3 linked regions of the Daphnia pulex genome follow. The main gene of each other region encodes a partner of the protein of the gene in region 2 in a complex. Links are inferred from orthologs where the notes say so. Each region holds a gene or a part of one and is shown on either strand. Other genes may lie near its edges. The genes, in order: exosome complex component RRP40-like, exosome complex component RRP43-like and exosome complex component CSL4-like.

The links.
Region 1: exosome complex component RRP43-like (region 2) and exosome complex component RRP40-like share a complex: the UniProt entries of both Homo sapiens proteins name them as parts of the RNA exosome core complex. The link is inferred for Daphnia pulex from reciprocal best matches to the Homo sapiens genes EXOSC8 and EXOSC3.
Region 3: exosome complex component RRP43-like (region 2) and exosome complex component CSL4-like share a complex: the UniProt entries of both Homo sapiens proteins name them as parts of the RNA exosome core complex. The link is inferred for Daphnia pulex from reciprocal best matches to the Homo sapiens genes EXOSC8 and EXOSC1.

Annotation. Positions count from the first base shown.
Region 1 is NC_060019.1:5,895,293-5,899,453, reverse strand, and holds the start of exosome complex component RRP40-like, read left to right. Parts: upstream 1-1,315; 5' UTR 1,316-1,401; intron 1,402-1,402; exon of another isoform or gene 1,403-1,464; 5' UTR 1,465-1,545; exon of another isoform or gene 1,546-1,783; intron 1,784-1,857; exon of another isoform or gene 1,858-1,944; intron 1,945-4,019; exon of another isoform or gene 4,020-4,161. UniProt on the Homo sapiens protein: Non-catalytic component of the RNA exosome complex which has 3'->5' exoribonuclease activity and participates in a multitude of cellular RNA processing and degradation events.
Region 2 is NC_060025.1:4,770,231-4,774,396, forward strand, and holds exosome complex component RRP43-like, read left to right. Parts: upstream 1-1,344; 5' UTR 1,345-1,480; intron 1,481-2,630; exon of another isoform or gene 2,631-2,709; 5' UTR 2,710-2,771; coding exon 2,772-2,788; intron 2,789-2,847; coding exon 2,848-3,022; intron 3,023-3,083; coding exon 3,084-3,378; intron 3,379-3,444; coding exon 3,445-3,565; intron 3,566-3,632; coding exon 3,633-3,736; intron 3,737-3,794; coding exon 3,795-3,913; 3' UTR 3,914-3,973; downstream 3,974-4,166. UniProt on the Homo sapiens protein: Non-catalytic component of the RNA exosome complex which has 3'->5' exoribonuclease activity and participates in a multitude of cellular RNA processing and degradation events.
Region 3 is NC_060026.1:7,116,071-7,119,056, reverse strand, and holds exosome complex component CSL4-like, read left to right. Parts: upstream 1-1,431; 5' UTR 1,432-1,450; coding exon 1,451-1,586; intron 1,587-1,646; coding exon 1,647-1,765; intron 1,766-1,860; coding exon 1,861-1,930; intron 1,931-1,986; coding exon 1,987-2,165; intron 2,166-2,248; coding exon 2,249-2,455; 3' UTR 2,456-2,484; downstream 2,485-2,986. Other genes in the region: protein SERAC1-like, read left to right, coding at 2,619-2,686, 2,760-2,986. UniProt on the Homo sapiens protein: Non-catalytic component of the RNA exosome complex which has 3'->5' exoribonuclease activity and participates in a multitude of cellular RNA processing and degradation events.

The sequences.
Region 1 (4,161 bases), on a different chromosome or scaffold from region 2:
TTGGTCGAATTTACTAATTTTCTTGTTTGTGTCTTCTAGGTCGACCGCCAGCGATTGGATGTTTACTTGGATTTGTGGAATGGTGGCTGCAGTCATGGTATACATCTCTTGTTGGATGGCCTTTATTTGGTCCTGTAGGGTTGTCAGGTCATTCCTTGGGGTTGGCGGCGGTGCGGGGCGGTTGGTTGGGGTGGGGGTTCGATTGGTTACTGAGCTGTACAGATTTGCGTGGCGGGATCGAGCTTCTTGTATGGTGATTTCCTCCAGGTAGGCCATTTTAATAATGCTCTTCATTTGTTGGTATGCAGGGCATTGATCGCTGTCTGCTTCATGATCTCCGTTGTTGCAGTTAATACACCTTCTTGAGCATTCTTGGTGTGTCTCGTGTTGTTGTTTGCCACATCTTTTGCAGTTAGGGCCATTAGCGTTGCACCTGTTGGCGGTGTGGCCGAGTCTCCAACAGTTCCTGCATCTGTATGGGTTTGGTACCGATACCTTTACTGGGTAGCTGATTGACGCTATCTTGATCCTGTCTGGGACCTCTTTCAAGAAGGTAAGTGATACTGTTGTCGAGGGGGAGCCTGGTGAGTTGCGGATCGGGAGCCGTTTGACATGTGTCACGTGCTGGTCTGCTAGAGCTTCCAGAATCTCCTCCTCCGCGTCACTTATCGGGATACCAAAAATTACTCCTACCTTCCTCGCTGTTGACCGGGTGGGCAGAGTGCTAGATGTTGGTCTGCCTGCCAGGGTCTTGATGTTGAGTAGTACTTGTTGTTGTTGCAAGTCAGTAGGGCTGACGGATAGGTCGCCGCCTGGGAGTACCGTGGAGTCCCGGGGGTCCCCAATGGCTGTGCAAATGGCTTTTCGCATGGCCTCACGTTCTGCTAAGGACATTGATTTGAAGTTTGGACGGTCATCCATGAGTTTGATTATCACAGGGAGGGGGTGGTCTGTTGAGTTGCACGGTCTTTTCGAACGCGGTGGGGCATCACGGTCGGCCATTTTGTTGGTGGCACCTGGCGCGGAAATTGCTTTGACACGGGGGCCTGTGGGGGGGGGGGGGGGGGTCGCGCGTGTTTGTCTGTCGGAATAAAGCGGGGGGCGTATATACGGTGAGTACGTGAGTCTGCTGGCACTTTGAGAGAGAGAAGAGAATGCACGTCAGGTCTCTACGAAGGTGCAAGGCGAACTCCCTTCCTCGAGTTCTTTAATTAAAAAACAATCAAAACATGATCTACGTGTTATCTGGTGTAATCATCGCGTTTGGTTGCCATCGTTACGACTGTCATCTTCAAGTGCTTAACCGCCGCTTTAGCAGACGACAGCTGTAAACAAAAGCAAGGCCAAGATCAAAGACACTTTTTTTTTCCTTTTTTTTGAGCAGCCTTTCCTCTTTTTAGGGTAGAAGAATATATAATTATGTATTGATATACTAAATCTCAAATTGCATTCAAAACCTTATAGATTGGAACAAAGATTGGAAGCCTGGTCCATATCGCAAGACAGGTGCTTAAAGAAGTGACACTGCAGATGGACTCGGATATGGTGTGACTTAATTTTGATGTGTATTTTAAACAGGCAAGAAAAAGTGATCCCAATTTCATTGTAGATGATAAAACAAGCTGTAAAAAATGATAATGAGCCTCCTGCAATCTTTGAGGTGAGAGAAAATTTTGATGACATAAAAAGGGAGAGTGAGGAAGCAGCAGAAGATAACCCTGAAGGGAGCTCCAACGGAGATGAGAATGGAGATGATGATTTTAACTTGGAAGCATTCAATAAGGTTATAATTTTGATAAAATGTCACAATTATTAATGCTAAACGGTTTAGCATTAATAATTATATTTTCTTTACAGGAATATCCTGAGCTTAGTGACACAACACACCAAAGAAAATATGGATGTAAAGATGCTTGAAAGTCTTTTCATCACAAGAATGTTTTGGTATGACATATGAATATGTACTATGGGACCAAGCTAGCACCTGTGAATTGTGATACATGTGTGAAAACATTTTTAGGCAGTGATTATTTGCGACTTCACGTCATCCTGGCAACATCAGGGAGTGAAGCCCTTTAAATGTGACGTTTTTACGACCGATCCAACTTACGTCAACATACGAGATCACTGATGAAAAACTGGCCCGTCCGTAATGTCCGCACAAATACTTAAACTGTCTGAAAACATTTGACCATTCACACGAAAGAAAAAACATTCAGTGTGATACCAGTGGTGTGTAACCTCACAATATTTTTCTTCATATCTTTCTCAAGATTTTTAACTGTGCTATAATCAATTCGCAATAGTAGCGACGCAAGGAACAAGACGATTTTAATGTCTTATTATCATTTACGTGTTGAAATGTCAAATCTTGTTACTAATTTTCCTTTGTTCTAGGAGCTGGAAAAGATTTTCGCTAGCTGCTCTGGGTCATCGTCAAAAGTTGCCAATCCGGAGAGAGAGGATCGATTATTGAGAGACGATATGAGCTGCATGAAATGCGACCGAAAATTCCCTTTGATTGGAGCGGCTATCCAGCTGCGATGTTCTACAGTTTATTCTCCTCTTTTGAAAGGTAACGCAGTTCTCTTGTGTTAGATCAAACAGTTTTATTTGATGCCTTGTTAATAGGTCGTAAACAGCAGCAGCAGCAAAGCCCAGTTGTAGTTCCTAATAATGACGTGTCTGGGTCTGAATCAACTCCATCCTCGAGTAATCTTCCGGGCAGTGACGTCATCGTAGCATCCAATGAACCGTCTTCACCCACCATCAGCGGTAAGGAGGCTTCCGACACTTCGGAAGAAGGAAGTCGAGGTGGTTGTGGATAAAATCATGCGACTCGCTTCTATTAACAGTGAGCAGCCAGAAAAGTGGCTCAGTTTGGAAACAAGTTACCCGCTTAATCAACTAGTTAACATGTTAATCGTCATCGGTAACCGAGGTGTTGTTCTGAAGTTCGGAACGAGTTGGTCTCACCTCATTTTGCTTCGTGATCAAAGACGAACCAAGAACGCGTGACTCACTTTCTCACTGGTAAATCATTTTTATTGTGTTGTTCTTTTATTTAGCTAATATTCTGCGGTTTAGATATTCTTGAGAAATCCGGATTTACTGTTCCGCCGTTAAGGACGGTACTCATGGCGGATCAATGGCTGGCTTTGATTGGACTCCGTCAGAGGAGATCAGGACACTGTTTTGACGGGATCTGCGGATGAAGGTGAAACGGACGGTGTAGTGTAGGATCTACGAGGACGAGTACCCGATTCATGCCGGATAGCAATTCTCGCGTCTTCCTCTTTTGTGTAAACTGACGGGTCGAATGGGGCAATAGTAAGCAACAGAAAAATCACCAGCAAACGGCCAGTTATAGCAACACAGCCTTGATGGTCACAAGTTATCGTATGGTTTTAGTATGTGGTGATCCTCGTTGGCTGACGAGCCATCAAGTTCAGTTTTGAACGTGGGGTGGGAGGGGGAGAGGGTCGCTTCTCAGCCTTCAGCAACTTGTCAATCTCGTCTCTTTGGTAAAATGACGGCCAATATCTTGTCTATTTCACCTGCATTACATTTGGTTGTTTTCTTTATTCAGGAAAACTTCGAAGTAATCGTAAGCAAACCGGAACAGATCCGGTATTATTTTCTCGAATGGACAGTTTCTTTGGCTACTAGAGAGGCGGTTGATCAACTGGTGATTAAATTTTGATTCCCTCCTTTGTTTTGTCCCGTCTTATTATTAATCCTTTATTTATCCTACTAATGTTTTGAACATATTAGATTGAAGCTGTACGATATCGTTGGGAAGCCGTCTTCTCCGTTGAGCTGGAAATCAACGAGCTCGACGACTAACATCATGTAATATCCCCTCTCGATTAGACTTATCGTTTTTCTTTATTGTTACCTTGCTGTACATGAATTCTGTGTGAAGTGCAATTATTGTTTCAAAAGTGAGCCTTTTCAACTTGGAAGTCTAATTAATTACACAATGTGCATTCAGATTTCAGATAATAAGCAATTTATAATAAAATTATTATTCATGTATTTTTTTTATTACTGCTTTAAACACAAATTCACTAAGCATGTTTCCAGAAGGGTGACTTTGTTTTGGTATTCAAATATTTGTAAAGCTTTTTTATTCTAGAGTTCAGCGTGCCCCACTTTGTT
Region 2 (4,166 bases):
GTGTATCAAAGAGAGAGAGAGCCACCTGAAAGAAAAAAATGAATCGATTGGTTGTCCACCTAGTGGAGGACTTGGGTAGTTGACAAAACCTGTTTTAATCAAATCTTTGGCTGTCCAAAATGATGATGATAAGAAAGGTGTAAATAAATCAAATCAAATCGAGTTTGAGCTTGATCATTTATGGGTCGAAATAAAGCTCAACCATGACTAAAGCAATCGACGAAAGCTTTTGCGTTTTTAACTCGACCTTGGCAGCTTCTACTAACTCACTTTCTATAAAGTAAAGACGTCTTTGGTTCGGTAGCTATGTGCTGATTTTCTCTTTTATGAATTTTTTTTCCTCGGACGGCGAAGGTGTTGTTACATGCAAACTTAAAAAGAGCTAACGTCCCCGTCATCAATAAAGGGTTTTCTCAAGAACGACCATGAGGACTTTCCTGAATAACAGACAAAGAATGTCCTTGGGGTTCGATATGACTGAACACAGCAGACCTCGCCTATTCCACCCGAGGACGTTTAAAATTACATTTCGAAACCCTCCACCGAAAAATTTCAATTTCTACTCCATATTAATTCGCTAAGAGTATATATTAATCGGCCGGCGTATGCGACGGGAAATTTTATTTTAAGGCTGTTGCGGTACGCGCCTCATATTCTGAACAATAGCACTACACGCGTGTACTGTCGCGGGATTGCGAGAGATTCCATCCCTTGGATTTATTTTAAGAATGAACAGGCCAAGTGGATACAGTTCACTTTGAACTGTGGAATGTCACCTTTCCTAAGGTACTAAAACGGTACGCACGATTGAAAAATCATAACATCTAATGTTACTGATGGCATCTGTAGACATTAGTCCACAAATTGTTTTTTATTTCACGACATTTTTCCCTGACACCATTTTCACTCAAGCATTCTTTATGCACAAATTGTTTTGTAAAAAAATAAATAAGTAAAATAACTCCTGACTTGAGCTAGTTAACAGTTTACTAAATGAGGTACATAAATGAGGTTTTTGGATTTGAAAGGCAACCTACTAATTGTGCGATATGAACCGTTGTTGTACTGATTTTCGGTATTTTCCAAACTTTTTTACCTTTTGGGTTTTACGATATCAAGTTATCTTGTTCCCACAGAATTTACCGATTTTTTGCCGTCAGACAGAACTATTTCTGTCTACAACCCCATTACCATATTGATGCCAAAAAAGTTCATTAAATTCTAAAGGTGACCGGTATTTCGAGAGTCGAACGTTTTTTTCTATATATTTAGGAAAAATATCCTTCAAGTGTTATCTGCTGATTTTCTGCCAATCGGTTTTATTTAATCTCGCAAACAGGAAACAGCAGCAAACAGGAAGCAACTAAGCAAGTAAGCAACACACACTTTTTAATTTCTGACAACGTTGCTTGGCCATGCTTTTAGATTTTACGTCGTCTGCTACCTACTATTATTGTTTGAACCTTTGAAATTCAATTTGGTAGTGATGTTTCGTTAACGATAACGGATAACGTGAAAAGTCCGTTAACGGACCTTTTTTGGGGTTCGTTAACTTAACGGATAACGCTAACGTTTGGCATTTTTCAGACGTTATTTTCAGACGTTATTTTTGTTTTTAACAGCGCTGCCAAATATGAAATTTTTGGATTTTTCAAAATGAAATTTGTATTTTTTGCGCGCTTCCAACATTTTACTGTAGTAGGTTGACTATGAAAACGAATTTAAATAGCCAATGACAGTGAGCAGTAGTCTTCTTAGCTTCTCTGAGGTTTTTTTTTGCTTTCAAAACGTGGCAAACGAAACTGTATAAGTAGAGTAGGGAAACAACTAGAATCAGAGTGTAAATCTTTAATGTCAGATTCAGACTCTGATGCTCCTGTTGACGGTGAATAAGCGTGGCATCTGCGATGTTAGAAGATCTCGAAAGAAGATTTAATTTCATGACAGATTAAAGAGATCCTGATTTCGACTGCTCCTACCTTCTAGCCACTTCCCTCGACTGCATTGAAACTGAACTTTTAGACAACTTCCACTTTGCAAGTCATGAATTTGATCCTTCTAAGGATCCACCAGTTCAAGATGTGATCTCTTACTGGAAGGATTTGTCTGGTCGTTTCCCCTAATTATCCAAAATGGCCTATAATTTACTGGTTATACCAGTTTCTTCGGCATCATCTGAACGCGAATTTTCCATTGCCGGATGGCACTGTCTAGGACACAAAAATAGGACGGCGGAAGAAGTTTTGGCCGCAAAAGTCTTCCTCACTTGCAATAAGGATTTATTGAGGCCTTTACTTTTTTAGTTGGAACTTGTTTTTTTTTCTTTTGTCTGTGCGTTTATTTAATCCGCAGTTTCTGTTTTTTTTAGTTGATCATTGCTTCATTGTGACATTGTTCAACGCCAGCAGCAATTTAAATATAAGTAATCAAGACCGTGACTGATTTCAGTGATTTGATAGTGCAATTTTTTTATTAAATAACGGTAAAAATAACGTCGAATTTTCGTTAACGGAGACATTTTTAACGGCGTTAATTAACGGCGTTAACGAACGTGAAAAAATTGGACATCGTTAACTTAACGGATAACGCTAACGTTTAGAAAAAGCACTAACGAAACATCACTACAATTTGGTAATGAATTATTTCACTTACGTCAGTGTAAACTCAGTACTCCAAAACTAATATATGTTCTGTTTAATTACAATTTAGTGTTTCCGATTACGCATCACGTCACTGTATGCGTTGATTCTATTTCCAATACAAATTTAAACATGGCAACTGACCACAAGTAAGTCATGTTTTATGAAGTTTTTTTGCGGGCACTTTGATATCAACCTCTTAATTCAGAACACTGCAACCATTGGAATTTTACAAGACTTTCCTTGATCGCAAGTCACGCCCAGACGGTCGGAAACTGCTGGAATTCAGAAAAATGACTCTAAATGCTGGTTCCATAGGAACAGCTGATGGCTCAGCTATTGTCAAATGTGGAAATACTACTGTCATTTGTGGCATCAAAGCTGTAAAACACTCATAACTATTTTTTTCAAAAACTATTATCAACAATAATCTATCAAATCCAGGAACTAGCTGCTCCAGAAAGAGAGGAGCCTTCTAAAGGCTTCATCATCCCAAATGTGACACTGCCATCCTTATGTTCTTCACAAATAAAATCTGGCCCTCCTGGAGAAACAGCTCAAGCTGCTACCCAGTTTATAGCTGAATTAGTCAATAACAATATTATTATGGACTTGGAAACATTGTGCATAAAGGTTTCAAAATGGGCTTGGGTTCTTCATTGTGATCTACTCTGCATTAACCTTGATGGGAGTTTACTAGATGCTTGTGTGATGGCATTAGTAGCTGCACTGAAAAATTGTAATTCTATTCTAAAGTTTTATGTTTTATTTTCTATAATCTAATTCATTCACTGATTCATTACAGTGAAACTTCCCATTGTGAGTTATGATGAGGAGATGGACAAACTAGTTTCCAACCCAAATGAAAAAATGAGTTTTGACACAATTAAGCAGCCAGTTACATCAACATTCTCCTTATTTGATAAGTATGTGCTTAAAAAAAAAACATGAAGAAACTTCTATGAAATCATGATTTCTCATTATTTTGAACAGTGGTATTTTGATCAGTGATCCTACATTTGAAGAGGAGCAGTTGGCTGCTGGATTAACATCTATTACCATGGAGGGTACTTCAGTTACACATATGTATAAGCCAGGTAAAAAAATTTCTATGATGTTCTTAAATTTGGACATAACCTTCCCTTGACTTTACAGGAGGATGTACTTTAGATGAGAAACAGGTGAAAAAACTTATTCAGCAATCAGAATTGAAAACAAAGGAGGTTGCAAGATTGATTGAAGAGGCTTGTTCATCATCTATTGCTGAACGATGAAATTGTTCGTCATTCCTTGTTTGGTATTGAAAATAATACAGTTTCAAATGTCAGTTTCAATTCAAAGTTTTCTCAATCTAAATTTTTTACTTCATGATTAAAAACATTCAACTACTTTCAATTTTACGTAACCGATGTATTTAACTCGCGTGAGCTATCATCACAGGAATGATTCATACAACATGTTAATAATAATCCTGGAGGCACTAGCCGAAACAAGTAATTAACAGTATTAAAAAAATCGATACCAAGT
Region 3 (2,986 bases), on a different chromosome or scaffold from region 2:
TAAACGTTCCATATTAAATTATAACTTTCCTAGTCGTTAATTCTACATAGTATTCATATGGATTCAAAAACGCTACAATTTTTTTTCTTTTGAAGTTCATCTTTCTCATATGCTATTTGATTGATTTTTATGAAAAAAAAATCATAAACATCCCTTCGGATACCTTGCTAATAACGCAGGTAGCTGACATCATATCGTGACATGTGTTTTTCGAAAAAATAAAATTTTTGTCATAAAATTTGTTTGTAATTTTACCCTATGCATCTTATTTTAAAAACCCAAACCAAACCTAAAAGTTTTACCATTAAGATTGTTCTTGGTTCAGAAAGGCTACCAATAGCCGTCGCCAGGTGGCGGTTTTAGCACTGACAGGGCAATAGCTCTCTATGGCTATTGCCCTGTCGGACCGGCATGGCAATAGATTTCACGCAATTTGCTGGGACATGGCAGCTTTGTCAGGGGTATGGAGAGAAAGGTATGGGGGTCTTTCCATACCCCTGGCTTTGTTAAACACACTTTCCGTACCATGTCGAGAGTAGGCATGGTCGAGAGTACTCAAGGCATCATCTTATTGGGTAAAATGTGGCATCACGTGACTTTTGGCAACGTCTATTGGGAGATTGACTGTGTGCATGGACTACTCTAATTAAGGACGGGATTCTTCGCCTATCCTGCCTTGTTAAAGCTAGTCGGGTGGGGTATTTTCATGAAAACATTAATAAAAAATATCATTAAATTCAGTTTTTTTTGCTGATTCCAACTATAGATATAAATCTTAGTGAAATAAACTAATCATTAAGATATTATAAATTTACTTTCAGAAGTAGGGGTAAAAGGATAAAACACCGGTGCCATCTAGCAACCAAACACCCTAAGCTCTTAAGAATATACGCTACAAGGTAAAATATAGTTAGGCAGCTATGTCAGAGGACTAGATAAGAGAGTGGTTTTTTCTTTCTCTCGGTATGCATGCATGGGCATCTGCTTGCAAACTAACAAGAGCTTAGGAGGTTTGGTTCCTAGATGGCACTGGTGTTTTGCCCTATTTCAAATTTTTCGTTAAGGAATTGGAAATATCTCTATAAAAATAAATGTTAGGTATAGGGCTCTTCGGGATCTGTTTTATTTAGCCGATTTATCTGGCAACGCAGCATGGTTCGAGACTTTTTTAGGGCGAGAACGGGGAGAAGAGGGAGAATGGGAGGACACCCTCCTCCCTCCCATTCCTCCCATCCTCCCTCTTCTCCCCGTTCTAGCCCTAAAAAAGTCTCGAACCATGCTGCGTTGCCAGATAAATCGGCTAAATAAAACAGATCCCGAAGAGCCCTATAGGAACATATGGTAATTCTATGATAATTTTTAAATTCTGATTCTGATTCTCCCACAAAAAAATTTACATGGCCGACATAGGAAACGCCGAAGAATATACCGTCCTTAATTAGAGTAGTTCATGCTGTGTGCACACTTAACGAACCCCACCCGTGAGCCGCCCAGCAGTCGACGTTTTTTTCTAACTTCGAAGTTGTTCTGGTGTGCGAAAAAAATGACGAATAAAGAATCAGACAAATGTGTAATATGCACTCCCGGTAATATTAAAAAACATATTTTTTTAGTTGTCATTTTGATAAAATGTTTGCATTTTTCAGGACAACGCATATGTCTGTCGGATAACCAATATATTGGAGGAGCCGGAACTTACACAAGACAAGGTTATATCACATCATGTTTAGCAGGTGTTGTTAAAGTAACTTCACAACCTGATAAGGTTAGTGGTTAAACAGTGAAATTAGATCAGTGAAACAATTCATTTGGTGTGAAATAATGAACTTCCGAATATTATGTTCAAACTTTTCTTCCTAGAGAATCCTGATAGAGGTTAGAAGTGGTAAAGAACAGACAGTTGTTCCATCTGCTGGTGATGTGGTTACAGGTACTGTTTAAATTATGTGTTGAATTTTGTGAATTTCATCTTAAACCTTTAAATAGCCAGAGTAACACAAATAAATCCTCGCTGGGCACGATGTGCCATTTTGTGTGTTAAGGACATTGTATTGGCAGAACCCTTTAGAGGACAGCTGAGGAAAGAAGATGTGCGTGCTACAGAAAAGGACAGGGTTGAAATGTACAAATGTTTTCGTCCCAATGACATTATTTTAGCAAGAGTGGTAATTATTTGATTTTGATCATTATTTCAACTGTAAAGTGAGTATGACTTCTAAGATGAAATTTTTTTTCATGTTGCTGTTAGCTCTCATTAGGTGATGCACATTCCTATGTTTTGTCAACAGCAGAAAATGAATTGGGTGTTGTTATAGCATACAGTGAAGAAGGTACTCCTATGGTTCCAGTAGGATGGCAAGAAATGCAGTGCCCAAAAACTTATGTTAAAGAATTGAGAAAAGTTGCAAAAGTTTCGCCAGAAACAATTTCAAACGAAAATGCAACAGGCGTCTAGATTATATTAATACATGAAATTTGACAACAAAGCTTTTCGGATTTTATTTTATTGGTGTTTTGTCGACTGCTTGCGTTTCTGTTCAATTCATTTCATTTTCTCCAAGTTCCTTTTTTCTAATCATAATTTATATTCTTATAGTTTTTTCAAGCATGTAAATAAAATGAGGAAACATCGCCAAGTGAAATGGAAAAATTTGCCGAAATCTCTAGCTGTCATTTTTATAATTGGGTATTTCAATTCCTAGCGAGTTCTTGTAATCAGCATATAGAAAACTACAATGTATCTTTTCTTTTTTATGAAGAGGAGGAACTACTCTGGCATACCAAATTCATTCTTTAAACCGCCGGTTTTCATCTTTATTGTCAGATGCCGCAGTTGAGAGAGAACGTCAAAAGGCTGGGTGCTATATTGCTATTCCTCAAACTGTAATTGAAACTGAGATTCATGCTATGACCTCTAAACTGAAAAATGTTGAACAAATGGTGGAGACTCTTATGAAGGGACCAACACATCTTGGTCTTGATTCAA